Struthio camelus: one gene and its partners. The protein of the gene in region 1 interacts with the protein of each later gene in a pairwise test. Links are inferred from orthologs where the notes say so. Each region holds a gene or a part of one and is shown in the gene's direction. Other genes may lie near its edges.

The links.
Region 2: the proteins of CEP70 (region 1) and KAT5 interact in binary tests that used the Homo sapiens proteins (3 or more experiments, as listed by UniProt). The link is inferred for Struthio camelus from reciprocal best matches to the Homo sapiens genes CEP70 and KAT5.
Region 3: the proteins of CEP70 (region 1) and HSPD1 interact in binary tests that used the Homo sapiens proteins (3 or more experiments, as listed by UniProt). The two-hybrid records come from large-scale screens. The link is inferred for Struthio camelus from reciprocal best matches to the Homo sapiens genes CEP70 and HSPD1.
Region 4: the proteins of CEP70 (region 1) and SMARCE1 interact in binary tests that used the Homo sapiens proteins (3 or more experiments, as listed by UniProt). The two-hybrid records come from large-scale screens. The link is inferred for Struthio camelus from reciprocal best matches to the Homo sapiens genes CEP70 and SMARCE1.

What each region holds. Positions count from the first base shown.
Region 1 is NC_090947.1:35,546,532-35,554,285, forward strand, and holds the start of CEP70 (centrosomal protein of 70 kDa), read left to right. Parts: upstream 1-4,751; 5' UTR 4,752-5,133; coding exon 5,134-5,142; intron 5,143-5,703; coding exon 5,704-5,803; intron 5,804-5,964; coding exon 5,965-6,088; intron 6,089-6,424; coding exon 6,425-6,605; intron 6,606-6,931; coding exon 6,932-7,101; intron 7,102-7,754. Other genes in the region: FAIM (fas apoptotic inhibitory molecule 1), read right to left, coding at 919-1,147, 1,517-1,652, 2,319-2,362.
Region 2 is NC_090976.1:906,229-914,008, forward strand, and holds the start of KAT5 (histone acetyltransferase KAT5), read left to right. Parts: upstream 1-4,765; 5' UTR 4,766-4,773; coding exon 4,774-4,914; intron 4,915-5,013; coding exon 5,014-5,080; intron 5,081-5,845; coding exon 5,846-5,914; intron 5,915-6,140; coding exon 6,141-6,277; intron 6,278-7,632; coding exon 7,633-7,780. Other genes in the region: RELA (transcription factor p65), read right to left, coding at 1,215-1,363, 1,897-2,045, 3,071-3,115, 3,600-3,609. UniProt on the Homo sapiens protein: Catalytic subunit of the NuA4 histone acetyltransferase complex, a multiprotein complex involved in transcriptional activation of select genes principally by acetylation of nucleosomal histones H2A and H4.
Region 3 is NC_090947.1:11,797,305-11,804,167, forward strand, and holds the start of HSPD1 (60 kDa heat shock protein, mitochondrial), read left to right. Parts: upstream 1-3,851; 5' UTR 3,852-4,082; intron 4,083-5,119; 5' UTR 5,120-5,121; coding exon 5,122-5,295; intron 5,296-6,863. Other genes in the region: HSPE1 (10 kDa heat shock protein, mitochondrial), read right to left, coding at 1-52, 1,474-1,638, 3,453-3,455. UniProt on the Homo sapiens protein: Chaperonin implicated in mitochondrial protein import and macromolecular assembly. Together with Hsp10, facilitates the correct folding of imported proteins.
Region 4 is NC_090966.1:7,066,624-7,074,067, reverse strand, and holds the start of SMARCE1 (SWI/SNF-related matrix-associated actin-dependent regulator of chromatin subfamily E member 1), read left to right. Parts: upstream 1-4,437; 5' UTR 4,438-4,830; intron 4,831-5,826; 5' UTR 5,827-5,870; coding exon 5,871-5,877; intron 5,878-6,468; coding exon 6,469-6,512; intron 6,513-7,444. UniProt on the Homo sapiens protein: Involved in transcriptional activation and repression of select genes by chromatin remodeling (alteration of DNA-nucleosome topology).

The sequences.
Region 1 (7,754 bases):
CAAGCAACTTTTGCTATAAACATACATTTTTACCTCTCCCTAGCTCTGGCTGTTAACAGTGGATTGCTCTGAATGCTGTCAGAGATGTTCTGGCATCCTCAAACTGAAGAACTTGAGGATAGAAAAATGAAGTAGTCTGTGCCAATTATTTAAGGAGTGTTTATTCAATCAAATCCCAATTTTAACTTCTTTGAGGTATGTTTAAGTAAAGAGCAGCTTTACTTAATATCCACAAAGTTTCAGAGTTCTTAAGATCTCCTTGAAAACTCAAGTTCCATCCATACCATAATATGAAGAATCTTAAAATTGTACTGTTTCAAACAGTATTATTTTATTTTTCCCAGTACAACCTTCTTAAGTTCATTAGCTCTAGAATTCACATTACTGACACTGCCCTCCACTGGCAATGATTAGAGAGCTGAACCCTGCTCGCCTTTTAATTAAATACAAGGAGACTAAAACTGTGAGGAAAACCAAGCAGGCTGCAGGCTCTGTCATATATTAAGATTGCCCCCCCCCAGTCTTATTTGATCTTAGGATATTCATTCTGTCCTTACGTTTAATAAAGGAGAAAAAAAAAAAAAAAAACATAGTCCCTGATCTCATCTCTGGCTCTAACCTTGCAGCAACACCCAAGAAGCTTCCCCTACTAGATGCAATGGACACAAATTTCCCAGTAGCTTCCTTCTGCCCATCTGCTTGTAGTATTTTTGGGAAAGGGGGACGAAAGAGGAAAGATGTAACCAGACCCTTATTTTTTCAGATCGTTGTCTTTAGCATCTAATTAAGTGTTTCCAGACTACCCAGGATTTTGCACTGCAACAGTGCTAGCCTGAACTATACCTTCTCTTATCTGCCAGTTATTAAATGCACACAAGTTTATTCAAAGGCAACAACATGAAGTCAATATTTACTTACCTAGAACAACTCTATACTCCATGCCATCCAAACTCAGTACCCAAGTATTAGTTGTTTTTGACCTGTTCTCCATATACTTCTTGAGGCTTTTCCCATTGATATCCAACGTATATTCATACGCAAAGCCACTGACTGCATCAATGTTAATAGTAGCTTTTGTTTTAGCTGCTCCAACAGTAAACGTTTCTTTACCCACCAATTTAAACATCCATTCTTTTCTTATTTCTTCCTGTAGGAAAAAAAGCCAAAGACAATGGGTATTAATTAATAAACCTGAATATGTCTCAGGATTGAGACATTTTGAACTAGAACTTGGGCAACAGCCCAGTACTTAACTATTATTTCAGTATGTACGAATTCATAATATTTTGCATGTACAGAGTGCCTCTGCCCAAGGACTGCAAAGCACTTCATGAAGACTCACACCTTAATTGTAACTGAGAAGAGAATTATGTAGTCTATTAGATTACGTAAAGTTAGTCAACCAAATACATCTCACTTGCATTTATTAGTCTTTTGTTTGTTCTGATGCATTCTGCATGGAAGCACACTTACACAGTCTGTATCATAGTGAATTTTGAGCATATAGTAATTTCACCTTTCCATCAACATAGACAACACGTTTTCCTGACGTGGTCCCATGTTCAAATTCAATCTTATGAACACCATCACTTAAAGCTACTTCCCAAACGGCCACCAGATCTGTCATCTTCTCTAAATGGCTGTACCGGGACCTACAGAAACACCAACAAAGTACATTAATTGTGGTTGAGAGAGTTCAAATATTGCTGAATGTAGTTGAAAGCTTTACTACTTTATAGCAAGTCACCTTTTACCAATGAAAAAGTGAGATCTGAAAGAATAAATGTAACCAATTTTTTTATTTTCTTAAAAAAAACCAAACATTCAAATATGATAAAACTTGTCACAAAAAATAAGCACAAAGACAGGTAAACAGGTTCACTTTGACTAATACCATACAAGAACATACATCCATCTAACCTCTAAAACTTCCAAGGCAGATGACAACAAAGTTAAAAAACTACACTTACATTCCAGATGCTTATGGACAGTTCTGTGATTTCTTGGCAGTCACTAATACAGTACGCTAACTGGTCTGTTAAAGTGTTTTAGCCTTTTAAACTTGCAAACTAGTTAGGGTGACCAGTTTAGCTATTAAAAAATTTGTCTGTAACCTTTTTCATAAATATTACCTACATCATTCAGAAATGCAACTGTGCATGCACATACATATTACCCCTCCCTCCTTCCAATGGGGGGAAGAGATGTTGAGATATCCTTTCTTTAAGTGGTTTTTAAAACTCAGGTAAACTCTTAAGTGACTGCTGAAATTGTGGATATCTTTTCAAACCTGTTCATGCTGCAGTTCTGTTTTTTACCTTAGTTCATCTTCACCGACAGTAATCTCCTCACAGGATGCCATAGTAATCAAAACAGCTCTTAATCCAATTAGCAGCAAGAAAAAAAGAAAAGCTGAATAGCAATAGAGAAGCATTGAGAACTAGATTTTCCTAGTTTTCTCCATTTAAGATTATAGATCTTTTTAAAAAAGTGTGATGAACTATCATGTATTATTCATATATGTGATTTTTTTCCTCTTAGACAAAAAGGCAAATACAAGTTTATTTGGAAGTATTACTTTACAAAATTAGTATGGGCGATTTTTCCTAACTTTATTAGCACAGCCTAGCTTTGTCATGTATTTGATGAAAAGTACTTTGCCCGATTTACGAGAGAAAGTTTTGAAACGGACCTGACCAAAACAGGAACCAAATCCAGAACTTCACAGCTCAGTCACCAACTGTAACACACCGGAGACCATTGCCACTAGAGGCAAAATGAAATAGTGCCCGAGAAGAGGATATCAAATACTGCTTGGGAGAGCAGACAGGATGCAGGAGTCCTTATGGTCCACAGTCAGTGCAATATTCAAATCCTGAGTGAAGTGGAAGCCTTGTTCTTGTCTCAGACCTCTAAACATAAGCACCAGAGCCAGACTCAACAATTTCGACTTAATAGCTTTGCTAAACCACTGTAGCAGTTTTCAATAGTCATGGTAGCAATTTGACCTGGCAATTCAACCATAAAAATCTGTATTTACCAGAAATAAACAATGCAAGCACCATCAAAAAGCCTTCTAAGTAAGAAGTAGTGATTTATGTGTTCCTACAACACTGCTAACCTGTTTTTAATCCTTATCCTTTTCATTAAACACAATAGTTTGTGTAGGATCTATTTTCATTAAAAGCTGTCTTTTAAACTGTACTGTTAATCACATAAGCTGTAACAGACCTCCCAGTTGTCAGAGAATCATTTAAGCCGGTGGAACATAAAAGCATAAGAATACTGTACTCTATTTTTCTTCCAACACATGGCCTATTGCTCTAATCCAAAGTAGCTACCAATAGGTATAATTTCATTCAATGCAAATAACTCATTTTTGGTAAATAAATGGTACTTTTCCTTGAAAAAATGAATTAAAGTCAAGTCATGAGTTCTAGGATCTCTCTTGAGCATAATAGTTAATGCATTTAACATTAGGCCTCCTTCAGTGTAACTTGTTTCTGCTCTAAAGCAAGCTCAATAGCATTGCTATATTACTGTTTATTATCTTTTTCCTCAGCAACCCTACAAATTTCTGCTCGTGAACTGCAAAGTAAGTTCCAAAGACTGTGAGTTCATTTTTAAGAATATAAGGATTTAATTCTCCCATTTGTGAGTTGTGTATGTCAACTAATAATGACAACAAGGGGGTCTTTTTGTTGCTTTTGAAGTTTACAGTTTGGTTTCCATAAAGATTCTTATCCTCTGGAGCATCAGGGAAGTTGGGAAACGGTTATTATTTCTGCACCTCCTTTCTAAGGATTAAAAAAAGAGAAAGAGACTCTTACTGGCTCAGGACAGACTTACGCCGCCTGCCTCGACCATCTTATCAACACAGCAGCGACCTCAAGTTACAAAAAGTGCCAAAGAGGTGGAACCGGAGCACGTTTCCAGCCTGCTCGCAGACCCTGCATCCCCTGCGGTGGCATGCAACCCGGCCCTATGAAGTTTAGCAGCTAATTTAGCATCAATATTGAAAAGGCTACAAAATAACGGAAACTACACAGTCTCCTCCCCCAATCACTTCGTAACACGCTTTTCGAATCAAATCTGGGCACAAAACCCAGTCTCTAGGTCAGCTTCACCCTATCTAGAGGATGGGCAATACCCATGGAGCATAAAGTGAGAGCAGCACGCAGGAGACGCTGACTGACTAAGAAAACCTCTACCGCAGAACCGGCCCGCAAAAAAAAAAAAAAAAAAAAAAAGGGAAAATAAGAAAAATTACTTACTGCCTTGAATCAGTCCCTGGGACTCCGGGCAAAGCAAACCCCCCCACCCTAGCTCTGGCCGCTGCCAGGCGGCACTTAGCGCTGTAGGGCCTTGGAGGCCGCTCCAGCAGCCGCCAGGCCGGGGAAACCGCTTCCCCCCCCGCCCCCCTTCCCGCCCCGCCGCTGCCGAGCGGTCTCCAAGGCGCCGCTCCCTCAGCCCGGCCGCGCCGCGGCCAAAACACCCCCCGCCGCCGCCTCCCAGCGTCGGGCAGCGAGGTGACCGCAACGCCTCCGCGGGCTGGACAGGAGAGCCCCGGCCCCGGCCCCGGCCGCCCCCATCCCCAGCGCTGTCTCCTACCTGCGCGGGGCTCCGGCCGCTGCAGCCCCCACCGGCGCCACCTCCGTCTCCCCCTCCCTTCGCAGCTCTCAGCGTCTCAAAATGGCGGCGCGGCGCGCGCCCCGGCCCCGCCCCCCGCCGGCGGCCGTTAGCCGCAGCCCGCCCCGAGCCGGCGCCGTGAGGCGGTAGTGGGCTGCCCGCGCCGCTCGGCCGCCTCCCGCTGGGTGCCTTCCTGCCGCGCTGCCGGCCCCGCGGCCCTCTCGGAGCCGTTGCGGCGGCGGGCCGGGCGGGGAGGGCGGCTGTGGGGGTCTGAAGCGCCAGTGCCGGCTGCTGGCGGCCTGAAGCGCCAGTGCCGGCTGCTGGCGGCGGCGCGGCCTCCGTGCGCCCCGCCGCGCCTCTCGGCGGTCCTCTTTCCCGAGGCCTGATGACTTTCCCTTTTTCTTTCTTTCTTTCTTTTTTCCCCCCTCCCGTGTTCATCCCTAGGCAGCTTCAGATCAGGGCCCGGGCTGCTCTTTCTGCATATTTGAACAGAAATCCCTCACAATGACGGAGGTACAGTAATGAACCTGAGCTGTTTGTTTGTCTGGTTGATTGATGCTACTTTGAGGTTAAATATATGTATGTACATATATTATACACGCACGCACACACCTACAGATAGGTATTTCTCTGAAGAACTCGCCACCCGCCAGCTGGCTGCACCGTGCTGGGGCCCTGGGGCGGGACGGGACGGGACGGGAGGGGAGCAGGCCCCGCCGCCTGGAGTACGCGTTAAAATATTAGTATGAGATGAGTGCCTTTCATTTTGTATATATTTATGTATTTTTTCCAGAAAGTATTTTTTTTCTTTTAATCGTTTGCAGATCATTTGCAAAGGCATTTAAAAATACTCACCGGGAAAACTGGATAATCTGTAAACTGTCCAGTGTGTTTTTCCTAATATTTTTGCAGATCATACTTGGAAAGTCTTTCAACCCTCCTGTAGCAAACCGTGGTTGTTTTTTGATATGGGGGCATTTGGTATCTTCTACCGTGTACACAGCTAGGAGAAATAGGAGACCGTAAGCTGATCTTCAGCATTCAGGTTGTTGTCTCTCCTTCTCCCAAACGCAGCAGGAGAAAGCAGAATGGGAAAACTTAAACAAAATTTTGATGCGCCATGGGTTGAAACCTGTGAGCTTTGCTGCCCCAGGAAACAGCAGAAGTATATCAGGTAAGGGCATGCTGTTTTTACAAGTTTCTGTATATGAAAATATAAGCCCAAGTTCATAAACCGTCTTTAAAGCTGTCTTTTGCAAGTGCCAGCAGAGATGTGGTCTTCTCCAGTTATCAAATGCCTTTCACTGTGACTTTGTTTATTTTGAATGTTTCCAGATATGATTGTCTTGGACAATCAGTCTTCTCTGGGGATAAGATGTGCATTACAAACACTGCTGGAAGACACGGACCGACAACAGAAAATGATGCATGGGCTTATGGAGGCTAATCACCAGCTCAGGTAAGACTCAGTGGTAGGAACTTGTTTCTAATGCAAGCCAAAAATATTGTCAGTGTCCGTTCTCTGCCAGGTGGAGCTGCTGCCACGCATGAGGCCCAAGACCTTTTTCCTGGGATTTTTGTGGAAAGTGGCAATGTTGGCCTGGTTTCTTCTGCATTTTTCTATCATTTCATCTGCTGCTTCTTCCCATAGCAAAATATTTCCCATACCTGCTCACATGGCCCATTATTGAGTGTTAACAGCTAAAATCTGTTAGGCCTGTGTCTCCTTCACTGTATTTAGTGAAGTTAATTTATTCTAAATCAAGGATTGTGGTTTTTTTTTTCTTTTTGTTAGAGATGAGGTACGTCAGGAACGAGGTCGAGCATCCCGGCAAGAACAACGGGCTAATGATTTGGAAAACGTGGTGAAGAACATAAAATCCAAAATTTGCCAGCTGGAAGATGAGACAATAGCTAAGGTTTGCCAGCAACAGAATCAGGTCAAAGAACTTCAAAAAGATCAGCAGATTTCACAGGTAATTCTGGTAAACCTGTTTGAGGACTCAAACTTTTGACTTTTATTTAAAAGCTTTAAAAATAGTGACACTGGTCAAAATAAATGCAAATCTTTTTGTCTTAAGAGTTACTACACTGTTTATAGCTAAGATTTTTCAAGCTCTATGGAAATTTTTTAATGATAGATTAGAAAAACATATGCATCCTTCTTCCACTGTCTCTTCAGCATGGCTAGAAAAAAACTACTCACCTTCCTTAGGAGCAAGTGCCTACTTGGGCATGTATGGCACTGTCTCCAGCTTGTTTGTCAGAATAATTTCGGAATGCTCCCGTTCCCTTTTCACAGGCAAAATACCAACAGCAACAGGAAAAGCTGCAAGAACAGGAAGAGACTATTGCCCGTTTGCAGAGGGAGCTGTACAAGGTTGGGATGGAGGAGCAGCAGCGTGTTGCCACTCAAAACAAAATGTTTTGCCAGTTTTGCAAAAGAGCTCCGAAGTCTCTTCTGGATCAGCAGTAAGCAATTTTCTTCCACTGTTATACTGATGTAACATTAAATGAAGAAGCACATTTTAAAATAATGGTTTTTGATATTTTGATTTTTTTAAAAACTGAGTTCCTTAGGAGTGCCAGTTGAAATATGAATCCTTGTGCCTTGTAAAGGCATGTGAGTTCAATGAACTTTTACTGTATATTAAAAGTGAGCTGCTTAAATCCTTGGAGAAAAGTGAAAATTACAGCCACTGTACACAAGGTGTCAGCAAAGAAAAGAGAATGATGCACTATTTAGTCTGGAACTCCAACGTCTACCAGGGTGATCTCATTCTGGGATTCTAGTATTGTTAAATGTGATCTTAAAGAAACAACAAAAATCTTTCAGTTGTGAAAAGTAGTATTTGCAGCTGCTAACTGCAGGCTTACTGTAAAGCTTTACAGTTACTTCTGTGAAGGTTTTGGAAGTACTCTATGTCTCTTATGATAAGGTCTCCATACTTCTACTATAAATCAGAGCTTTGCCAATTCTTAGGCCTCAAACGCCCCTCACTTGAGTGTGTTGGTGTGGCTGGGTCTGCCAGTTTTGGCTGGTAACACTAACCTGCAACAAATTTCAAAGGGACTGTGCAGCCTGACTGTTTCTTACTGTGCCCTCACTAAACAAGAAGAGGAAT
Region 2 (7,780 bases), on another chromosome or scaffold:
GCTACCCAAGAAGGGACCCAGGCGTCCAGGCTACCCAAGAGGGGCCCAGGCATCCGGTCCCGAACTTAACGCGCGCCCCAAACCCTGAAGGGCCCAGGCGTCCGGGCTACCCGAGAAGGGACCCAGGCATCCGGGCTGCCCAAGAAAGGGCCCAGGCGTCCGGGCTACCCGAGAAGGGACCCAGGTGTCCGGGCTGCCCAAGAGGGACCCAGGCGTCCAGTCCCTAACTTAACGCGCACCCCAAACCCTGAAGGGCCCAGGCGTCCGGGCTACCCGAGAAGGGACCCAGGCGTCCAGGCTACCCAAGAGGGACCCAGGCGTCCGGTCCCGAACTTAACGCGCGCCCCAAACCCTGAAGGGCCCAGGCGTCCGGGCTACCCGAGAAGGGACCCAGGTGTCCGGGCTGCCCAAGAGGGGCCCAAGTGTCCGGTCCCTGATTTAACGTGCGCCCCAGTCCCAAAGGGCCCAGGCGTCCGGGCTACCCAAGAAGGGGCCCAGGCGTCCGGTCCCTGACTTAACGTGCGCCCCAGTCCCAAAGGGCCCAGGCGTCCGGGCTACCCGAGAAGGGGCCCAGGCATCCAGGCTACCCGAGAAGGGGCCCAGGCGTCCAGGCTACCCGAGAAGGGGCCCAGGCGTCCAGGCTACCCGAGAAGGGCCCAGGCATCCGGTCCCTAACTTAACACGCGCCCCAAACCCTGAAGGGCCCAGGTGTCCGGGCTACCTGAGAAGGGGCCCAGGCGTCCGGTCCCTGACTTAACATGCGCCCCAGTCCCAAAGGGCCCAGGTGTCCGGGCTACCCGAGAAGGGCCCAGGTATCCGGTCCCCGACTTAACATGTGCCCCAACCCTGAAGGGCCCAGGCGTCCGGGCTGCCCAAGAAAGGGCCCAGGCATCCGGGCTACCCGAGAAGGGGCCCAGGCATCCAGGCTACCCAAGAGAGGCCCAGGCGTCCGGTCCCTAACTTAACGCGCGCCCCAAACCCTGAAGGGCCCAGGCATCCGGGTTACCCGAGAAGGGACCCAGGCGCCCGGGCTACCCGAGAAGGGGCCCAGGCGTCCGGGCAACCCGCGCGACGTCACTCTCGAGCACCAACTCGGCCTCGGAGCGGCCGCCGCGTCCCGTTCTCCGTCCCTCTCCCCCGAAGGGCCCAGGCATCCGAGCTCGCAAAGGGGCCCAGGCGTCCGGCTCGCAAAGGGGCCCAGGCGTCCGGCTCACCTGTGCACGTTGCGCTCGGGCGCCAGCTCGGCCTCGTAGTAGCCGTCGCGGCAGTCCTTGCCCACCAGCTCGTGGGGGTGCGGCCGGTGCGGCGCCTCCTTCGTCACCAGCGACACCCGCACTCGCCCCGGGCCCCGGTAGTTGTTGATCTGCGCCAAGGGCCCAGGCGTCCGGGGAGGGGCCCAGGCGTCCGGGAACCCCCCTCTGCCCCCGTGTTCCCAACCCGGGCGTTAGAACCGCTAAGAGGGACCCAGGCGTCCGGGCAGAGCCCAACCTCCGCGCTCAGCTACGGTGGGTGGGAAGGGGGGCCCAGGAGTCCGGGGAGGGGCCCAGGTGTCCGGAAAGGGGCCCAGGCGTCCGGGTGGCACTCAGGTGTACAGGGGGGCTCAGCTGTCCGGCGGGGCCCAGGTGTCCGGGGAGGGACCCAAGTGTCCAGGGGAGTCTAAGCCCCCAGCCCCAACCGCTGGGGGGCTACTGGGAGACCCTGGAGGAGCTACTGGGAGCATACTGGTGCGCACTGGTCTGTACTGGGGGCTCACCCGGATGGTGGGGTGGGTCTTGGTGGTGTCGCTGCTGTGCTCGCCGGGGCTGGGGGCCCAGGGGGGGCGCGGGGAGGGCGCTGGAGGGTTACTGGTGCGCACTGGTCTATACTGGTGCGCACTGGTCTATACTGGGGGCTCACCCGGATGGTGGGGTGGGTCTTGGTGGTGTCGCTGCTGTGCTCGCCGGGGATGCTGCCGGCCGAGCGGCCCTCGCACTTGTAGCGGAAGCGCATCCCCCGCTGCTTGGGCTGCTCGATGATCTCCACGAAGGGGGCGCCCCCCCCCGGCTCTGCAACGGGGCCCAGGCGTCCGGGAGAGCCCCCCCCCCCGCCCCCCCGGCTCTGCAACGGGGCCCAGGCGTCCGGGAGAGCCCCCCCACCCCCACCCCCCCCGCCCCCCCCCGGCTCTGCAACGGGGCCCAGGCGTCCGGGAGAGCCCCCCCCACCCCCACCCCCCCCGCCCCCCCGGCTCTGCAACGGGGCCCAGGCGTCCGGGAGAGCCCCCCCACCCCCACCCCCCCCGCCCCCCCCCGGCTCTGCAACGGGGCCCAGGCGTCCGGGAGAGCCCCCCCACCCCCACCCCCCCCGCCCCCCCCCGGCTCTGCAACGGGGCCCAGGCGTCCGGGAGAGCCCCCCCCACCCCCACCCCCCCGGCTCTGCAACGGGGCCCAGGCGTCCGGGAGAGCCCCCCCGCCCCCACCCCCCCCGGCTCTGCAACGGGGCCCAGGCGTCCGGGAGAGCCCCCCCCCACCCCCCCCGGCTCTGCAACGGGGCCCAGGCGTCCGGGAGAGCCCCCCCCCCACCAAGCGATCCAGGTGGCCGTGTGACCCCCCCCCCAAAAAAAGGGACCCAGGTGTTTGAGTGACCCCCCCCAAAGGGGCCCAGGCGCCCGGGTGACCCCCCCCCAAAAGGGGCCCCGGTGTCCAGGTGACCCCCCCCCAAAAGGGGCCCAGGCGTGCAGATGACCCCCCCCCAAAAGGGGCCCAGGCATCCGGGTGACCCCTCCCCCAAAGGGGCCCAGGTGTCCGAGTGACCCCAACACCCCCCCCAAAAGGGGCACCGGTGTCCAGGTGACCCCCCCAAAGGGGCCCAGGCGTCCGGGTGACCCCCCCCCCCAAAAGGGGCCCAGGTGTCCGGGTGACCCTCCCCAAAAGGGGCCCAGGTGTCCGGGTGACCCCCCCCCCCAAAGGGGCCCAGGCGTCCGGGTGACCCCCCCCCAAGGGGGCCCAGGCATCCGGGTAACCCCCCCCCAAAAGGGGCCCAGGTGTCCGAGTGACCCCCCCCCCCGACCCCGGACGCCTGGGCCCCCACTCACCCTGCAGGCCCCAGTCCTGCTGCAGGAGGAAGGGCAGCAGATCGGCTGCGGGGGGGAGGGGGGGGAGGGAGAGACGAGCGGGGGTGTCAGCGGGGGAGGGGAGCCCGGCCCGGACGCCGGGGCCCCCTCCCGCCCCCCCCCCAACCAGCTGCCGCGCCATGGGGGGGAAGGGAGGGAAGGAAAGCGGAGACGAAACCGGCTGCGCCTCTCTTCGAGGCTCTACGGCCGCGCCGCGCCGCTATTAGGCGCAGTGCGGGAAGGCCGCCGCCGCCGCCGCTACCGTAACGCACCGAAGGGGCGCGCACGCCGCGGCGTCACGTGACGGGGGGACCCCCCCCCCACCCCCACCGCGCGCGTTAACCCTGAAACCTACTGACGCCGCCGCCAGCGGGGGGAGAGTAGGGGGGATCCCCTGACGTCACCGCGGCTTGACGTCACCGGCGAGGCGGGGGGGGGGAACCACCGATTTCGGGGAGCCTCGACCCGCCCCCCCCCCCCCGGCGGAAGGGGGTGGGGGAGGGGCACTCACCGTTCTCCATCTTGGCCGGGCGGAGGGGTGGGGGGAGGGGTAGGGGGGTGGGGGGGGTCCCCGGTGCCGGTGGGGGCGGGGCGAGAGGGGGGTGGGCGGGGCCGCCGCGCCCGGGCGCGACCGTCCGGTCCCGCCGCCGCCGCCGCCGCCGCTTCGGGCCCCGCCGCTACCGCGTCGCCATTCGCGGAAGTGGCCCCGCCGCCCCACGTGACCCCCCGCTGCCGGGAAGGCCCCGCCCCCGGCCCCGCCCCCGGCCCGCTCCGCGTTCTGGCCCCGCCCCGTCCGGCCCCGCCCCTTCCGCCCCCTCCGCGCTCCGGCCCCGCCCCCATGCAAATGAGGGGGCGGGGCCGAGCGGCAGGGGCCGGCGGGCAGTTGCGGCCGGCGGAGGGAGGCGAAAAGAGGCGCAAAACCAGGCGGGGGGGGGGAACCCATAATGGGGGGGGGGGAACCCAAAAGGAGGGGGAACGGATGTGGGGGAACCGAAAACGGGGGGACCTATGGGGGGGACCCATAACGGGGGGGGGGACCCATAACGGGGGGGGACACATAACGGGGGACACATAACGGGGGGACCCATAACGGGGGGACCCATAACGGGGGGGGACCCATAACGGGGGGACCCATAATGGGGGGACACATAACGGGGGGACACATAACGGGGGGACACATAACGGGGGGGACCCATAACGGGGGGACCCATAATGGGGGGACCCATAACGGGGGGACACATAATGGGGGGGGACCCATAACGGGGGGACCCATAACGGCGTGGGACACATAACGGGGGGGGACCCATAACGGGGGGACCCATAATGGGGGGACCCATAACGGGGGGGGACCCATAACGGGGGGACCCATAACGGGGGGACACATAACGGGGGGACCCATAACGGGGGGACCCACAACGGGGGGGGACCCATAACGGGGGGACCCATAACGGCGTGGGACACATAACGGGGGGGACTCATAATGGGGGGGCCCATAACGGGGGGGACCCATTACGGGGGGACACATAACGGGGGGACCCATAATGGGGGGACACATAATGGGGGGACACATAATGGGGGGACCCATAACGGGGGGGGACCCATAGTGCGACCATAGAGTCTAGCGGGAGGACCGCGGGAAGGAGCGCCCGGCGAGCGAGCCCCACCCCCGGTCTCCCGCCGCGCGCATGCGCAGGCGCGGGGCGGGCGGCGAGCAAGCCGGAAGTGACGTCGGGGCGGGCAAGCGAGCGGAAGGCGGAAGCGCTGGGGCGGCGACCCGGAAGCGGTGCGCGGCGGGCCCCGGTTTGCGGCCGAGGATGGCGGAGGTGGTGAGCGGCGGCGGCGCGGGGCGGGGCGGGGCGGGGGCGGCGGAGGGGGGGGCGGCGGGACCCCGGGACCCCCCCGCCGTGACGCCGCGCCGCCCGCAGGGGGAGGTGTCCGAGGGCTGCCGCCTGCCCGTGCTGCGCCGCAACCAGGACAACGAGGATGAGTGGCGTGAGCGGGGGCGGGGCCGCCGCGCGAGGGGGCGGGGCCGCCGCGGGAGCGGGGCGCGGAAGGGCGGGGCCGGGCCGGGAGGGGAGTGGGCGGGGCCAGGCGGGGCACTGACGGGGCCGGGAGTGGGCGGGGCCGGGAGGGGAGTGGGCGGGGCCAGGCGGGGCAATCGCGGGGGCGTGGCCAGGAGGAAGGGTGGGAGGGGCCACCGCGCGGGGCGGGGGGACGACACGGAGGCCCAGCGGGGCGGAGGGGGCGTGGCCAGGAGGAGGAGTGGGCGGGGCTGCTGCGGGGCGGGGTGGGGCCAGGAGGAGGGGGCGGGGCCGGGCGGGGGAGCTGTCCCCCCTCCCCCGGGGTTCCCTATTTGGGGGGGGCAAGGGGATTTGGGGGGGGGCTCAGGGGGATTGGAGGGTCCCTGGGGGGGTTTTGGGGGCGTTTGGGGGATTTTGGGGACAGCGGGGGGGGGGACTTGAGACTGGGAGATATTTGGGGTCCCCCAGGGACGTTTTGGGGGGGGGGAAGGGAAATTTGGGAGAGGGGGTCTTGTGGGGGGGGTAATTGGGTAGGGGGGTGGCAATATCGGGGCGGGGGGAGCAACCTGCGTTGGCCTGAAGCGCTATTTCGGAGGGGGGAAAGGCAACCTTTGGGGTGGGGGGATTCGAGGGTGCCCCAATGAGGGGGTCACGGCCCGGGGGGCCCGGGGGAGGTGGGGGGGGGGAGGCGACCCCCTCTCCCCCCCTGCCGCCCCCTCCCCGCCGCCCCCCCCAGCGCTGGCCGAGATCCTGAGCGTGAAGGACATCAGCGGGCGCAAGCTCTTCTACGTCCACTACATCGACTGTGAGTTTTGGGGTGGGGGGGTGAACGCGGTGACACTGGGGGGGGACGGGGCCACCGAGGAGGGGACGGGGCCACCGCGGCGGGGACGGGGCCACCGAGGAGGGGACGGGGCCACCAAGAGGCCACGGGGCCCCCGAGAGCCTCGGGGCGAGAGCCGGGGCGACCGCAAGCCGGGCGGGCGGGCGTCCCGCCGCCGCGTCACCGCGTCCCCTCCCGCCGTCCCCAGTCAACAAGCGCCTGGACGAATGGGTCACCCACGACCGCCTGGACCTCAAGAAGATCCAGTTCCCCAAGAAGGAAGCCAAGACGCCCACCAAGAACGGCCTGCCCGGTTCCCGGCCCGGCTCGCCGGAGCGCGACGTGGTGAGGGGACGGGCGCCGCCGCTGGGGACGGCCCCGCCGCCGCTGGGGGTGGGGGGGGGACGCCCCCAGGTTGGGGGGGGTGGGCGGGTTCACTAGAGCTGTCGGGGACGTCCGACGGAGCCGGGAGAAGACACCTCGAGCCCCGGGGACGTTCTCGAAGTTGACTCGGGGACGAGTTCAGGGGCGCGTTTGGGGTCGGGGGACAGCGAGGACGTTCAGGGCACGTTCGGGGGACAGGAAGGCCACCTTGAGTGTCGGAAACGTCTGCGGGTCTAGAGAGGCCACGTAGATGAGTTGGGGACATCTAGAAGCTTTGGGGACACCTGCAGTCAGGGCCGTTTGTGGTCCTAGCGGGGACGCAGAGAGTTTAGGGACGCACGGAGCCCCGGGGACGTTTTTGCACCCGACGGTGACACCAGGAACCGTTGGGGACGCTTGGAGCTCCGCGGACGTCCCTTGCTCCTCGGTTGGGGGGACACCTAAAGCTGTTGGAGCTACTGGGAGCCGTTGGGGACGCTGGGAAGCGTAGGGGACGCAGGGCAGTCGCTGAGGACGGGGGAGCCAACAGGGACGTTGGGAGCCGCTGGGGACGTTGGGAGCCACTGGGGATGTTGGGAGTTGCTGGGGACGTTGGGAGTCGCTGGGGACGTTGGGAGCCACTGGGGACGTTGGGGGCCACTGGGGATGTTGGGAGCCAGTGGGGTCATTGGGAGCCACTGGGGACGTTAGGGGCCACTGGGGATGTTGGGAGCCAGTGGGGTCATTGGGAGCCACTGGGGACACCAGAGCTGTTGGGGACGCGGGAGCTGCTGCTTCCGGGGGAGCTACTGGGGACACTGGGAGCTGGTGGGAACACGGGAGCCAGTGGGCCTAGGCGAAGCGTTGGGGCCACCGGGAGCCATCGGGGGCCACCAGGAACCATCGGGGGCCACCGGGAGCCATCGGGGGCCACCAGGAACCATCGGGGGCCACTGGGAGCCATCAGGGGCCACCGGGAGCTGCTGGGGGCCACCAGGAACCATCGGGGCCATTGGAGGCACCGGGAAGCGTCGGGAACGCGGGAGCTCTCGGGGGACCGGGGAACCGCTGGGGCCACCGGGAGCCGCTGGGAGCCACCGGGAGCCGTGGGGGGACGCGGGGAGCATCGGGGACGAGGGACCGCCGGGGAGCCGGGACGCTTCGCTTTGCCGCGCCGGGAGGGCGGGAGGGGAAGCGGGTGGGAGGCTGCCGGCCGGCCCCGTTCCCCCGTCCCCCGCCCCCCGACCCCACGGCCCGGGCGGGTGCCAGCACCCACAGGGAGGGTGGAGGGTCCCTCACCGCCCCCCTTTCTGCTCCTCTTCCTCGCGCCGGCGCAGAGGAAGAGCCTGGACGCGGCGGCGCCGGCGGCTCCGGCCAGCGGCAAGAGCCTCCCGGTGCCGGTGCAGATCACGCTGCGCTTTAACCTGCCCAAGGAGAGGGAGCCCGGCCCCGGCCCCGGCGAGGCCGAACCGCCCCCGGCCCCCG
Region 3 (6,863 bases), about 24 Mb from region 1:
GCAGCAAGACCTTTTCACCAACTTTTACACTTACTGGCTGAATCTCACCATTCTGAAAGAAAAGAAGAAAAACTTTTTTTTTTTAAAAAACAGGTAAACAGGTTGATTTAATGGCAAGAATTCCTTCAAACCATAGTGATCCTCCCCCACATAAAACACTCAAGCAATCACAGTAACTACATTTTAGTTACGCAGTGAAAACTAGAATGCGCAAGTTACCTAGGAATAAAAGCACCCCAGTCAATTCTCAAGCATCAGAACCCTGCAATATTTCAACAGCAGAACTGCAGTGGATTTTCCTGAATGCAAAGTACTTCCGTTAGTTTGAGTGTAAACGCAAACTGAACTCTTCACTTGGCATTTTGAGGATGACTTCGCTTTAAGAAGTCTGAAAAGTTAAGTGACAGACCATGAAATCCCCCTCTAAAGCAATCAGGAAAGTCCATTTCCCTATTCTGTGACCAAGGCTAATTTCTTGAAGTGACAGTTAAGAGCGCCTTCTCATCTTTGTTACTTTGATTAACTTGTCAGTATTGCTGGCAGATCTATTAAACTCTACCACAGATTTCCAAGCATAAGTCTATACTTATGTTTTCGTATTATAAATTATTAGCTAGTTAGTCAATTATTAGCACCATTTCACAATATAAAGCTTTGAGATATCATGCTTTTTGTCTCAGTATCTATGGAAGGACTCAAGGTAAAGAAAGAGTCTGAGTCAACATGCACAAGTTAAATTTTAAACACATTTCGCACTATTACTACTAAATGGATACTTTCTTTGGTGGGGAAAAAAACTTGAAACGTTGAAGCCCACAGGCCGATTAAGACTATGAAACGAAGTCAAGACTGTCACTATCCTTTTTATGATCCTAGACCTGTTTTTTTAACACGTAAAATTCAAGAAAACTGACCTAACAGTTATTTTTGATTCCCAATTTTCTTTTTGTCCAGTAAGCCTAACTGATGCTTACGGGCAACGATATTTTGCACCGCGTTAAGACACAGAATACCACATTCTGGGATTCCACCCTGCTCACAAATTACAGGAATTCAGGCATGCGATCAGCAGCAGTTGAAGAAATAAAGCTGCCAATCCCATACGTTTCACCTGAAAGGTGATCAGACAAGGCATCCCAGAAAATCATAGTTTAAGTATTCAAAACTGAAAAAGCCTCCCACTGTTTAATGCTGCTTGTAAATATCAATAAATAACATTCATTTTTGAAAAGCCATTATTTCCCATTTTAGAAGCAAGAGGAAGGCTGGAATTCAAGGTCAGAGCCAATGAGGAAAGGGTGGACACTTGAGTGAAGTTTGAAGTGCAGACTCAAGAGAGGCGGTAGGAATCTCATCATCCTCATTTGTTGTCATGAAGTGTAACCAAATTTATACAGCAACCGATCCCTTTATGTTAAGCTTCCAGCTACCACCACACCATTACCAACTCTACCCAAAGTTGGATCCATTTACCTTTCCTTTGGCTCCCGATCCAACTGCCACTACTGTTGCTTGTAGCACTTTCCCTTGAGCTTTTTCTGGAATCATGATGCCTCCTTTGGTTACAGTCTCAGCTGCACATCGTTCAACCAGAACACGATCAAAGAGGGGAAGAAATTTCCTAAATGCCTTTCCTGCCTGTGAAAGGAATTGTATATTGTAACAGGAAGATCACTACAAAAAAAAAATGGCAATAAAAAAGTTCAAACCCTCACAGTGGTTTATCTTCCAAGAGAAGTCAAGAATTTAAGAAAGATGCTGGGTAGTTGTTCTTAATAGTGGCAAGTATATGCAACCTTTAATGGCAGCAAAAAAAAAAAAGTTAAAGAAACAAGCAAAGTTGAACCGCAGGTGTTCTGTATCTCAAGCCTAGAAACAATTCTCTCTTGAGCAGAATTAACAGGCACACCCTGGGCAGTCCTAAGATTTCAGCCATACAAAGATGTACTCCAGCTAACATCATAAATCACCACCAGATGGAGCTGCCTTCTCATTTGGCTGGAAAATTCCATCAGCTTTTAAGCTGCTCGATTCTAAACCGTTAGTGCTCCTGTAATTTAGTTAGCATCACTATTGATGAGTATATGAAATGTATTTATTGAGTCACAACCAGATTTAATGAAGGACCTCTCGGGCTAGTTTTCTGGGGGCATTTTTATCGGCTGTACTGGAACGTTTAATAGTAAAAAAGCAAAATCTAGCATGTACTGTGTGTATTTTTCAGGTATTTTCAAAGCTTAGCATTTCATATAACAATTTACAGCTTCTAAAGTTTGAAGTCTGAAGTGAGAGTGTAGTTTTTTTCTACTGAGTTCTACAAATAGACTACAACTTTGCAAAAAAGTGAAGGTTTTTGTAAACCCCCAAGAATAAGCAGCTAGGCACATTTGTGTGTTGGCTGCTTTTCCTTCATGTAGGAAACTAGTCAACAGCTACCTCTGCTTAAGAGTTAACTTTTTTGCTACTACCTACTGCTGCTACTGGCTGCATTTCAGCAACAGTAGCTGCATTCTCACAGACTAAATGCAAGTGCAGAGTCAGGGATAAGGAACATGCTTTGATGAAGAGCAAAGGTCTGGAGACTTGCCAAGTCACGTGGAGATAGCGCTCCACTAGACAGGTATCCAGAGCCCACTCAGAGAAGGTTCTAGCATCCAAGGTCCCTTCCCCGAGACCCATCGTTATACACTCTCATGCTTTAAAAAAAATCAGGAATGCCTCAAAAGTTACAGGCAGGACAAACACAAAGCCCAGTAAACAAAAGATGCTGTCCCCATTTCCCCCCTCCCCCCAAAAAAACTTGCTACTACTACAACGTGGAAGAAAAAAAAACCCGCACAAATGGAAAAGGCTGCCAGTTATGAAAACAACAGCTCTGAGCTTCATTTATTTTTCAAGTGACCTGTGCTTAAGGGAAATAAGCAATTAGACTTATGAACACGGATATTTTACACCGAATTAGAAAATGCGAACACAGGAAAAAAATTCCAGCTCCACGGTAAGGGCGCCCCTGCCCCTGCCCCGCTGCTCTTCGCGGCGAGCTCCACCCGCACAAGCTCGCCAAGCACAGGCGCTGAACCCCCAAGCGCCTTTCTGGCTTCTGTGCCACCAGGCTCGGGGGCCAGGCCGCCGCGCCGCACCCCGCCCGCCCGCCCGCCCGCGGGGCTCCCGAGCGGCCCGTCTCGCCCCAAGGGCGCGCTGCCCTTGCCGCGCTCCCAACGGGCTCCCAAAACGGCCCCGCGCCCGCCGAGCCGAGCCGCCGCGCCGCGCACCCCCCCCGCCGCCGCCGCCGCCGCCGGCCCGGGGAGGCGCCCGCAGCAGTGGCGGGCGCTGCAGGGCCCCCGGGCGGCGCAGAGCCGCGGCCCCCCGCCCGCTGCTAGGCAGCGGCGGCAGCAGCACAGGCCCCTCGCAGCCCCCGCGGCGGGCGGGCGGCCGGGCGGGCACTCACTCACCATGGCGGCCGCCGCGCTCCCCGCCACCGAGTGACCCGGGCCTGCGCCGCGCACACGTGAAAAAGGTCACCACCTGCGCATGCGCGCGGCAACCCTCCCCCCCACCCCGCGCGGCCCGCCCCGAGGCGGAGCCCTTCCGCCCCCCCGAGCCGCGATTCCGCCGTTTATTTTTCCCCGCCGGGCCCGCGGCCCCCGCGCAGGGCGGCCGCCGCTGCAACGGCACCGCGCCCCGCGCCGCACGGGGCCCGCCGGGCCCCGGGGCCCCGCGCCGGCCCGGAAGTGAGGTCACGTCACCTTTGACCCGCGGCGAGCATGAGCGTTCCAGAAGGTTCTGGAACTGGCGGGCCCCGGAACCTGAGTGGCTCATGCCGGGCCGCCAGGGCGCATGCGCGGAGGGCGGGCGGCGCCGCAGCGCTGCGGCCGTGCGCCCGCGCCAGGGGCGGGGCCGCGGCGGCTATGCTGGTTCCCGGGCTGGGCCGCGCGGAGCCCCACATGGGTGGCTGCCTGGCCGGGGGAGGGGCCGAGCTAGTGAGTGCTGAGCGCCTTCCCGGGCTCGCGCGCAGATCTGCCCGCTCCGCTTCGAGTCCGGACGGCGGAGCCGCCTGCCGCTCTCCCCCGCCTTGCACAGAGGTGAGCGTGTGGGGCTGCCCCTGCTCGGGGCCCGGCCGGGCTCGGCCTGGCGCGGAGCGGCCTTGCCCGGGGACGGGGGGGATGCCAGTGGGTCGGGTGCGCAGCCCCCTCGCCCCTTGCCCTCTGCCTTTTGGGCGTTGCGGCGGTTGCGGCCGTTAGGGGCGCGCGCCGCCTGCAACGGCTCTCGCGATTCGAACGCGGGGCGCTGCGGCCGCCTTCAGAGCGGCGCGCGCTGCGGACGGGGGCCGCGCGCCTGCGCCCAGCGCGTGCGCGCGCCCAGCCCGGGGCCCTGCGGCGGCTCGTGCGCTTCCCCCCGCGGCGGCGGGGGGGGGGGGCGGGGGGAGGGGCGCTCCGCGCCCGTGCTCGTGCTCGGCCGGGGGTCGCGGCGGACCAGGCGGCCCCGCGGCGCTGCAGCGCGGCCCGCCCGGCGGCAGGGGGCGAGCGGCTGTTGACCTTGCTGCGCGTGTCCTGATGGAAGGAGACACGTGGCCGGCGGCCCTCTCCTGCCCGCCGCGGCCGCGCCCGGCTGCTTCTCCTCCTCTCGCCCCGGAGCAAGGGCTGCCCGTGGGAGGCAGGGTCGGGCGCTGGGGCCTCGCCGGGCCGCGCCGTCAGGGCGCTACCCTGAAGCGCCCCGCTCGCCCGGGTGCGCGCGGCCGCCCCCGTTTGCCGGTGAAGTGGTGCTGCCTGAGGGGATGGATCCGTCTGGCAAACGGAACGGCTTGTGTGCTACAGCGCCCTGGCCATCTCCCGCCCGACAGCCGGGAGAAGCGAGGCGGGAGGAGCTCAGAGGTGCTGGAGGCTGCTCCATGAGGAGCTGCTGGAGCTGAGGTCTCCTCTTGAGGAGCTGGGCGCCCGAGCTCTCTTACCCTCAGGTAATTGTATGTCTGCGTTCGAAACAATCGGAAAATGAAAGGTCATGGTCACTTGCTTTACTACCTCAATTTTGGGAGGTTTTTTTTTCCCCTTTTTATTCTAAAAGTCGCCGTGCAAAGGACACGGTATTCATATCTTTCTGTGGTGGTGTTTTAATCTTTTAGACATGCTTCGTTTATCTACACTACTCCGTCGGACAAGGCCAGTGTCCAGAGCACTGGCCCCCCATCTAACGCGAGCATATGCAAAAGATGTTAAGTTTGGAGCAGATGCCCGAGCTCTTATGCTTCAAGGAGTAGATCTTCTAGCAGATGCTGTAGCTGTCACCATGGGGCCAAAGGTAATGGAAGGTTTTGCATTTGTACTATGTTAACGCTTTGATGTGGACGAAAATATAACAGTGGAAAACAGTTGTCACTTTTCCTAGATAGAGTTGCATGTTTTCCATCTCCATATCTGCAAGACAAGGATAGGAGAAGGAGTGTGGACAGACCACTGCAAGCAGCCATATTCTCATCTTGTCAGCTGAGCCATGATAATAGTGGACGTGTCCTTCATAGTCGTGAAGGAAAGTACGTTTGACTCCTATGAAAAGTGCAGCATAGTTGCTTAAACAGTATAAAGCAAAACAGAATAAGAGCGCGTGCGCAGTTGATTACTATAGCTGAGTTGGTAGCCTATGACAGTACCCTTGATAATTTGACTGCTTATAATTTTCTTTGCATCCTGAGGTAGTTTAGCTAATATGTGATTTTTTTTTCTTTTGAAAGAAATTATTTTCTGTTATCGTCGCATCGTGTAGTAGTATTAACAAGGTGAGAGAAACATTAAAAGCATAACAGCAAGTTTTTCATTGCAGGTAAATGTTACCAGTTTTTAAAAGGTATTGAAACATCCATGTCAGTGGCATTAATTTGTACCATGTATAGAAAAGATTTGTAGTGTATGATCCCCCTTTCAAGTTCAGGTTTTTGGAAAAGTAGCTGCTGTGTTCTGCATAGTCATACAACATGCCGTAGGTCTTGAAATGAAACTGCTCTGAAAGGAGGAGATGCAGATTTTCTTCAGGCTCTCAGGAATATCTGTTTCAAGTTAGCTCTCAGTAAGGATTTCTTAGGGATTTCTGACTTGTCATGAGGTAGCATTGATCAGGTGTTAGTGGTGTATGTGGAACAATGGTGAAAGTGGTTGCAAACTGCAGTTCTTCAGTTACTTCGCCTTACTGAGTAGCTACAGTGAATTATTTTAGCTCCCTGGTAGGAGTAAATTATATAGTTACAGTTTTGCCTCACTTTTAAAGTGAACACGTTCTGTCATTCACTGCTTGTGAATGTTTTTAATACAGGCAGTTTGCTTGTTTTTTAGTTTTTACTAAAGTTACTTAGTTTTTTTTTTTTTACTTAGTTGTTAAGTACAACTTTCACGTGGAAAGACCTTTTTATTGTTATTATTATACACAGTAGTTAATAAAATCCACGTTCAAAGTAGATAGGTCAAAGCATATCCTAACAGTATATGCATGGTAGTTCTTCTCAAGGCTGCTTGGCCCCTGTGAGATTACTTAACTTTTTACTTACACATTTCTGCACCTTTTTTTAGCTTTATTCAAAGGCAAAAATGCAATGAACTGAGCAGGTGAAGATAAAGGAACAGTGAACTCAGCAAGCTGTGGCTGTTTTCCCTAGGTACAGTTCTCCTAAAAGGAACACGTTTTCAGTGGCTCAGTTGATGAAACTGTTGTTTTGCATCAGCTGACGTTACAACTGTTTAAGGGTGGTTTTAATGCACTGGTTAAAGGACAGTTTCTGATGCAACCTATTGTAACCTTGTGGGTTTTTATATTCCAGTGCTTTCACTTTGATTTATGTGTTATTCTCCATATGTTCATAGAGCAGTTAGGGTTTATAC
Region 4 (7,444 bases), on another chromosome or scaffold:
TTTTCTTTACGAGGTTATGAAACAAATTTCAAACAAAATTGTATTAAGATATGAACGACTGCTGATGACGATTTTTAAGAGGAACTGATGCCACAAACTAACTCAGTCTAAGTCACTGGGATTGCAGGGGCTCGGAATCTAGGAAAACCACATACAATATTTACTAGATCCATGGTAGCATGTAAAAATTTCTTTTAAGTGTCAGTAATTGCCTTACTACTTATGGCATGTGTAACAAAAACTGATACTGCAAATTTTTCCAGTACTGAGTTATGCTTCTATCTTTTGTTAATGGTACAAACAACGCATTTTATACTGCCCATGGTTCTGTATCTACTGTATAAAGCTGACTAAGTATCATTAACCTTAATATTGATCTGGTGTTGTTAATACTTGAGTATTTGGCATCCTGAATGTAATAGCCTGCCCTCGCATTTTCACTATGCAGCTTTTTTTTGTGCTTATACTGTGTACATTTTACTATACTTGAATTTGAACTAAGTTTTAATTGCTTTAAGGCACTTTAAACAGGGATATGAATTTACCAAAGTAAATGATAGCACTACAACAAAAAGTAATAAAACTGAGTTTGCCCATGCTTTTTTTGTGAGTTTGGCATATATGTCTCAAGAAGAAAGGAGTAATAGAAAAATAGAAAAACATACAATAAAAGCAGTTGATAAGCAAATCTGTAGCACTGCAGCTGAGTGTTTTTTAAAGCTCTTCTCTACAATTGGTAAGACCCATATTCCCTAAGAATCTTTATCACAACATGCATGCAGGGTGTGTATTCTTCTTGGACAACAACAATTATTCTTTTTTGCTAAAATCCAGTAGCCCTGACTACATCTCAAGTCCTTTGTTCTGAGCTCTGCACACAAAAAGAAGACAGACAGCATCTGGCATACACACTTTACCATCCAAAAGACAGCAGAGAAGCAGAAACAAATAGCAAGTACGTACATGCCTTTTACCACTGGGTGTTTGGCTTACTCTCTGAACCACAATACTTGTGCTTTTAGCTTATCTAGTGCAACTCTAGATTTTTCACTAATGCTGGAAGCCTTCCCCAGCATAGTACAGAACTCATATCTGACCCAACCCTGCAATGCAATGTACGCGCTATTTTGAAAGAGAAAAATTACTGTTTAGATCTAGAGTAATCAACTTGGCCCGGGAAACTGAGTACATAGAAAAAAGGTTGACTTTATTGATACACGTTATTTTGTCCGTATAAGGGCCTCACGGGTTCTGAAGCCATTTCCCCGACTTTAACAACCGTACAACTACATCATGAGCTGTCCCATGAACGAGAAATTTATTTTACCCACGTAAGTTCCCATTATATGCCACTGAACTCAATTACTCATAAAATACACAACTCCTGGTTGATGTTTGAAACAACTGGGTCAAACCCCGTTATAATGTTTTATATTTACAAAAAGTGCCACTGAGAATGCCATGCGGGCATAGGAAAAAGCAGTATGCACAGTAACATCTTGCCCTGATTTCAGGTCACTTTAAAGTTGAATTTAAAAATGCAATATTGAAGCCTAATACTATGGCAAAGAATTCTTCACTGCTAAGATGCTAATTAAATTTAGACAAGCTGGGCTATTACCATCTAACACCTGCAAACGTCTGCCGTAAAAATGAGTTTGATTGTCTCAACCTACTTGCCACTGAATATATGTCCTAATTACAAAGCTTAAGAAACTGTTGCTAACGGAAAAAACAGAAGTCTCAGAAGTCGGATAAGAGCCAACTATGTAGAGCCCGTCCCCCCAATTAAAGAGGATGTTATATAAATAATTTTATTACATCAGTAAAACTACTCATGTCATGCAGTACATTGCAAAGTATACTACAACCTCTGATGCCAGAAACTGTCCTCCTCAGCTAAGTGAAAGGCCATGGTATGACTACAGATGACTTGGATATCCAGGTCTACCAATCTAGTAACTGATTCATATGAATAGCAAAATGAAAAACATAAAACATAAAGCAAGCAATATATTGCTAATTTTGAAAATATATATAAATGATTCGGTTCTATGAGCATGGACAGTGATTATCAGGAAGCATACATGAAAACCATATGAAATATTTCAAGCTGCATAAATTTAGAATTGACCTCATCATTTTAAAATTTCTATGCACAGAACACAATTACACCTTTCTTGCCAAAACCATACCAAGTTCTGAATAGGAAGAATGAAAATGTCATGCTACATGCAATAAATGTATCTTTCAATGTAACTTCAAGGCATTCTCACTCAGCTGAACACCTAAGGAAAATAAAAGGCTTTTGAGTCTCAGCGACAGGTGCAGTCGTACAACAAACTCCAACCACTTCTTCAAACTCCTCTTTGTCTCGCTCCTCACATCTTAGTTTTCCTAATCATTTTTGTCTACTTGACTGAATATTTGATATCGCTAAAATTTAATATTTGAAATCACTGAATATTTGATATCACTGAAATTAAATTTGAAAGCAGTGTCTTGTTAGCAGACATCCGAAGGTTCCTGCTAAATTCAAAGCATTAGCTCTATTAACATTTGACCTGGGAAAATGAGAGTGGAATTTAACTAACTGTCAAAGAGGACTATAGATGTTAGCAAGAAAATACATAAACTAGAACGCTGCACAAAGTGTTGATGCAGAAAGAACGAACAGAATAGCCTTTCACGAAAAGTCCCCTTTGCCTAGCAAGTGCAAAGGTCAAAGACATGCTACTGGTCAGCGCTGACTTCGTTCTGGGCATATACAAGCGTACAGCGTATAGAAACAGACTCTTAATAACTACTTACTAGGAAACTGTCTTAGCATTTTATCAGCAAAATCAAGTTATTAATAAATTACAGAGGAATGCATGAAGCAGTCACAGCCAGGAATAAAACTAGGTTATTTTTAACAAGTATTTTCTCACCTGTTCTTCACAAACTTCTATCCACGTGAAACTGGTGGACTAAAAAGAGGCTGATCTAGCTGACTATCTGAGGAATCTTTGGATTCTTACATTCTTTTAATTACCAAATGGAAGTTGCAGATTATTCTATTGTTCTTCAGCAAATTTCCACCGTGGCCATAGATAGCATACTGTAAGCAGATGAGGGCAGAATCATTGTCTCTGTGTTCACAGAAATGTGCTTATTTAAGAACAAACTTGTTTAGATAAACAGTGCGCATCAAGAAACGGGCCTAACTTGCAGTAACACAGGATCCTATTCAGTTAGGTTTTTTTCAAAAAAACAAAGATGTTTCTGCGTACTGTCTTAGCAGGAACATCCACTGTTTGGCTTTCCTTCAGATGCCATATCGCCAGGCCCACCCAAATCTTCCTTCATAGGTGTCTAGAATTTTATCTTATTAGCCATATGACAGCATTTCATTTCCCAATTTTATATTTTTATTTTGAACTCAGTCACTTTAACAATTTTCACTGTGCAAAACCATCATATGTGGAACACTGAGGTCTGAAACTGCTCTGCTCCTCAGACATTCAGAGCTGCAAGGTGTATTGTGTTCTGTATTTGCAGGCTTTTTACCTGCATATATGATACCTTTGCATATTCATGCAGTAAATCGTTCCGGATTACTTCAGAGCTCCCTAGTTCACAGTCTTCTATGACTCAGCTGCTAAGTACTTGAGCTGGTCAGCCCGATATAGTCCAAAATTAAAGTTTGCACAGATTTATAATTATTTCCCATAGGCCACATGTTTAGTCTTCGCTATGCTCATCATCATGCGGTTCTTGCAGGCCGACCTGTTTCCTCTAGACCTTCTTTTGCCTACGCCCTTCCATCGACCCAGAAAAATCTTGTTTTTCCCTCACAGCACCTTAAGCAAGAGCAAACTTTGGGCTAAATTCCGTTGCCGCTCAGCTTCTCTTCAAAGCCATGCCCCTCCCGGACCGTGGCTGCAGGACGGTCCGGCCCACTCTAGACACACGGCTCCTCGGCGCTGCCGGGACAGGTCACCTACGCTCCTTATCCCGCTCCTGAGAGACATCGAGGCCCCGAGGCTGTAGCGCAGCAGCGCCTCTTCCAGCCGCTCCCCCTCCCCCTCCCCTCACGGCCGTTTGCGCTGCGCCCGGCTCTTCCCGCTCGTCTCCTGTCCCGTCGCCGCCGCCCCGCGCGGAGGGACTCGGCCCGGCCCGGCCCGGCGGCCGCGCTCCCCCTCTGAGGCGACGCGAGCCGAAAAGGCGCCAAATGGCCGCCGGGCGCGTGGCGGGCGCGAGGCGCCAACGGCCTCACCTCCCCCGCGCCTGCCTGGACGTTCTCAGCCGCAGATTCGCCACGCGGAGACAACGCGGCAACCCGGCCGCCCGCCCCTTCCGCTCGCCCGCCGCGGACCTGCTAACAGCGACCCGAGCGGCGGCGGGCGCTACCGAGCCCCAGCGGAAGGGCGGGAAGAAGGCTACGCTGGGTGTGGAAAGTGCGGAAGGGAACGCGAGGCAGGCGGGCAGCCCCGCCGGCTGAGAAACCACCCCGCTGGGGGAATGGCGGGGCGGGGCGGGATGGAGCCGCGCCTGCGCGCAGAGCCCGGCGCTGCCTTTACCCTCTGTGTGCCGCAGATTCGCCACAATCCGCTCCGGCTTCCCTTCCTCCCGGCGGGTTGCGGGCGTGCGGGGAGGGTCTGTGCCCGGCGGTGACACCGGAGGGGAGACGGGCAGCGCAGCGGCCTCTCCGGTAAAGCCCGAGCAGCAGCCGCCGCCGAGGGCGGGGCGGAGGCTCTGCGTGTGGAAAGTGCCGAGGCGCAGGCGCGGCCCGCGCGGCCTCCCCCAGCCCTGTGGGGAACAAAGGGAGCGCGGCCGGGGCCGGAGCCGGTGAGTCGGGGCGGCGGGGCCCGGCCCGGAGCTCGCCCGGCCCGGCCTCCTCCAGCGCGGGCTCGCGGCGGGGGCAGGCCGAGGGGGTCGCCGAGGCCTGGGGAGCCGCGGGCGGGAGGGGCTGGGAGGCGGCAGGCCCGGCCCGGCCGCCTCTCGCCACCGGGCGTTGGGGGGCCCTGTCCTGGCTGCGCTGCCTCCGGGGAGGCGCCGGGGGTCCCGCCCGGCGGCGGGGGGGGGGGGTCGAGCGGTGCCTCTCGGGCCGGCTGCGGGTCTCCCGGGAGCGGGCACGGCCCCGTTTGGAGGCAGCGGGAACGCTGGGCCGGCTTCAGAGACCGGCTGCTCCGTGGTGCACGCAGGGGCCTTTCTGCCCCGTTGAACTTCGTGAGCGTTTCGGTGCGAAAAACGAGGAAAGGTCAAAGCGAAGACCGCTGTGCCGTCACGTAGTGCCAAAACGGGCCTAACTTCTATTGAAATCTTGATGGACTTCTTCTAAGAGGAAGGCTGAAAGAACACTGCTTTATTGCTGTGTGTTTCCCTGACACGCTTACGAGCTTGATGCTGAATGAGATTAAATCTCTCACATCCCATAGCCGATGCTATGAAGAACCCTATAGCTTCTATCATGTTTGGTGATTACTTTTTCCTGTTCCGTAATGGAAATATTTAGTGAGGTCGCTCATACATTAAGACCAGGTTTCTGAAGCAGGCTGTGTAAAATAGTGATACGTATCCTTTTTATTGCTTAGGAAAAAAGTTATACTTAAAATCTGTATCATGGAGATCACATAAACCTGAATCACAGCTGTTTAAGGCCAAACTCCTTGGAAAGCACATTCATGTTGCAATAATATATCACCTATAGTTTTCAGAAACTTTGTTTTGTTTTTGTTCCAAAATTTGCAAATCTTCTTTAGTAATTAATGGTAATTATAATTGAAATTTCAAAGAGTTGGGAAAGCTTAACATTTAATAGCATAATATTCTTTTGTTTTTCAGAATTACAAATATAATGTCAGGTGGCTGAAAATTTGCCTATCAAAATGTCAAGTAAGTTTTCAGATTTTTCTTCCTTTAATTTGGTGAATTAAAGATCTGAATCAGCAAGAACCAAACTGTGAGATAATTCTGTCATTCCTTGTGTGAAAAGGAATGATTCTGACCAAACTCTTGGCCTTAAATCTTGCTTGTGGCTGATTTCTGGCATCTCAGGTGTGATTGGACCTTAGCCTGTTCCTGCTTATTTCTAAAGCATACTATAACATATCAAAGACTACTTTTTGAGTACAACTCTCTGTTTCCATAGACAATCCAGATATCAGTTTCTCCTAAATGATGTTTCACTACACTTTTGCTTACCCTCTTTTTAACTGATCTTCATTTAAATATGTTTTATAGTCTTTAATCTTATGTCTAAATAAAAGGCTAGCAATCTGGCAATGGCGTGGGATTTTTTTTCTCCTCTCTCTCCTATCCTTTGTTTTACAATCTTCAATGACATAGTGGAAAGTAAGTCTTTGAGGCCAGGATCTCTGTCTGTCTTCTGTAAATCTTTGAAGTGTTTGGGACTCTGGATGCCTTATAAAGAATTCATTCGCATTTTCAAGAAAAAACTTTCTGCTTGCATTTATCTTTCAACAGAAAGGCCATCTTACGCCCCACCTCCTACCCCAGCTCCCGCAACCGTAAGTATAGTGATTTTTCTCATTAACACAGATCTGGTGATATGGCCTTTAATAACTTACCACAGCCCTGGGTCGGAAATCATATTCACAGCTTGTGTTGCAAAAATATACTGGAATATTTAAGAACAGACTGATATACACTTAATTCTAAAATTTCATGCCCAAAGCATGGGCAAAGCACTATGTGTTTTGGTGTTTCTGTGGTACCTACCTAGCTGACTTTCAGTGGAATGCAGGGGCATGCAAATCTTTGTTATATTGGCTCAGAATAACAAAACGTTCATGATGACAGTCTTATTCAAACTTCTTGAAATCCTTGGTATTTTTGGTCTGTTGCATGAAAAATATTTTACTGTACAGTCTGGAATGACACTTACAGAAACATGAGAGGTGATTTTGAATCATGTCCAGTTGTGTACATTTAAAAAAAAAAAAAAAAGGTACTGAAATACCAATGTCCTGAGGTCAGAAAAGCACCTGAAAGCAAATGAATCTTATGTAGCATTTGCATTTCTATAATAGCTTGCCTTTGAGGATTAATGCATTGACATGAGAAAGTACTAATCTTGTGCAAAAGAGAAAGTAAGGATGCTAGTGAAATTACTGACCAAAGAAAATTTGAAAACTGTTATCCAGTGTTTTTCGTCTGTGCCTCTGGGATGAAAAGTGCAGGATGGGATCTAGATGAAATGTAAAGTCTGGCGCAATGAATTTAAAGGATCACATTTAAAAAGGCTTGGAAATGCTATATTGTATAAACATAGATTGTTCTTAAAAACTTATGAAAATAAAATATTTTACTGCTTTTGGCATAGTTTGTTCAGAGTTTTCATTTTGCACACAGCTTTATAGATTGTGCGAATATTACAAAAACTATGATGGTATCTGCTCTTATAACTGGATTCCTGCATTGAGAACCAGGCATGCACATA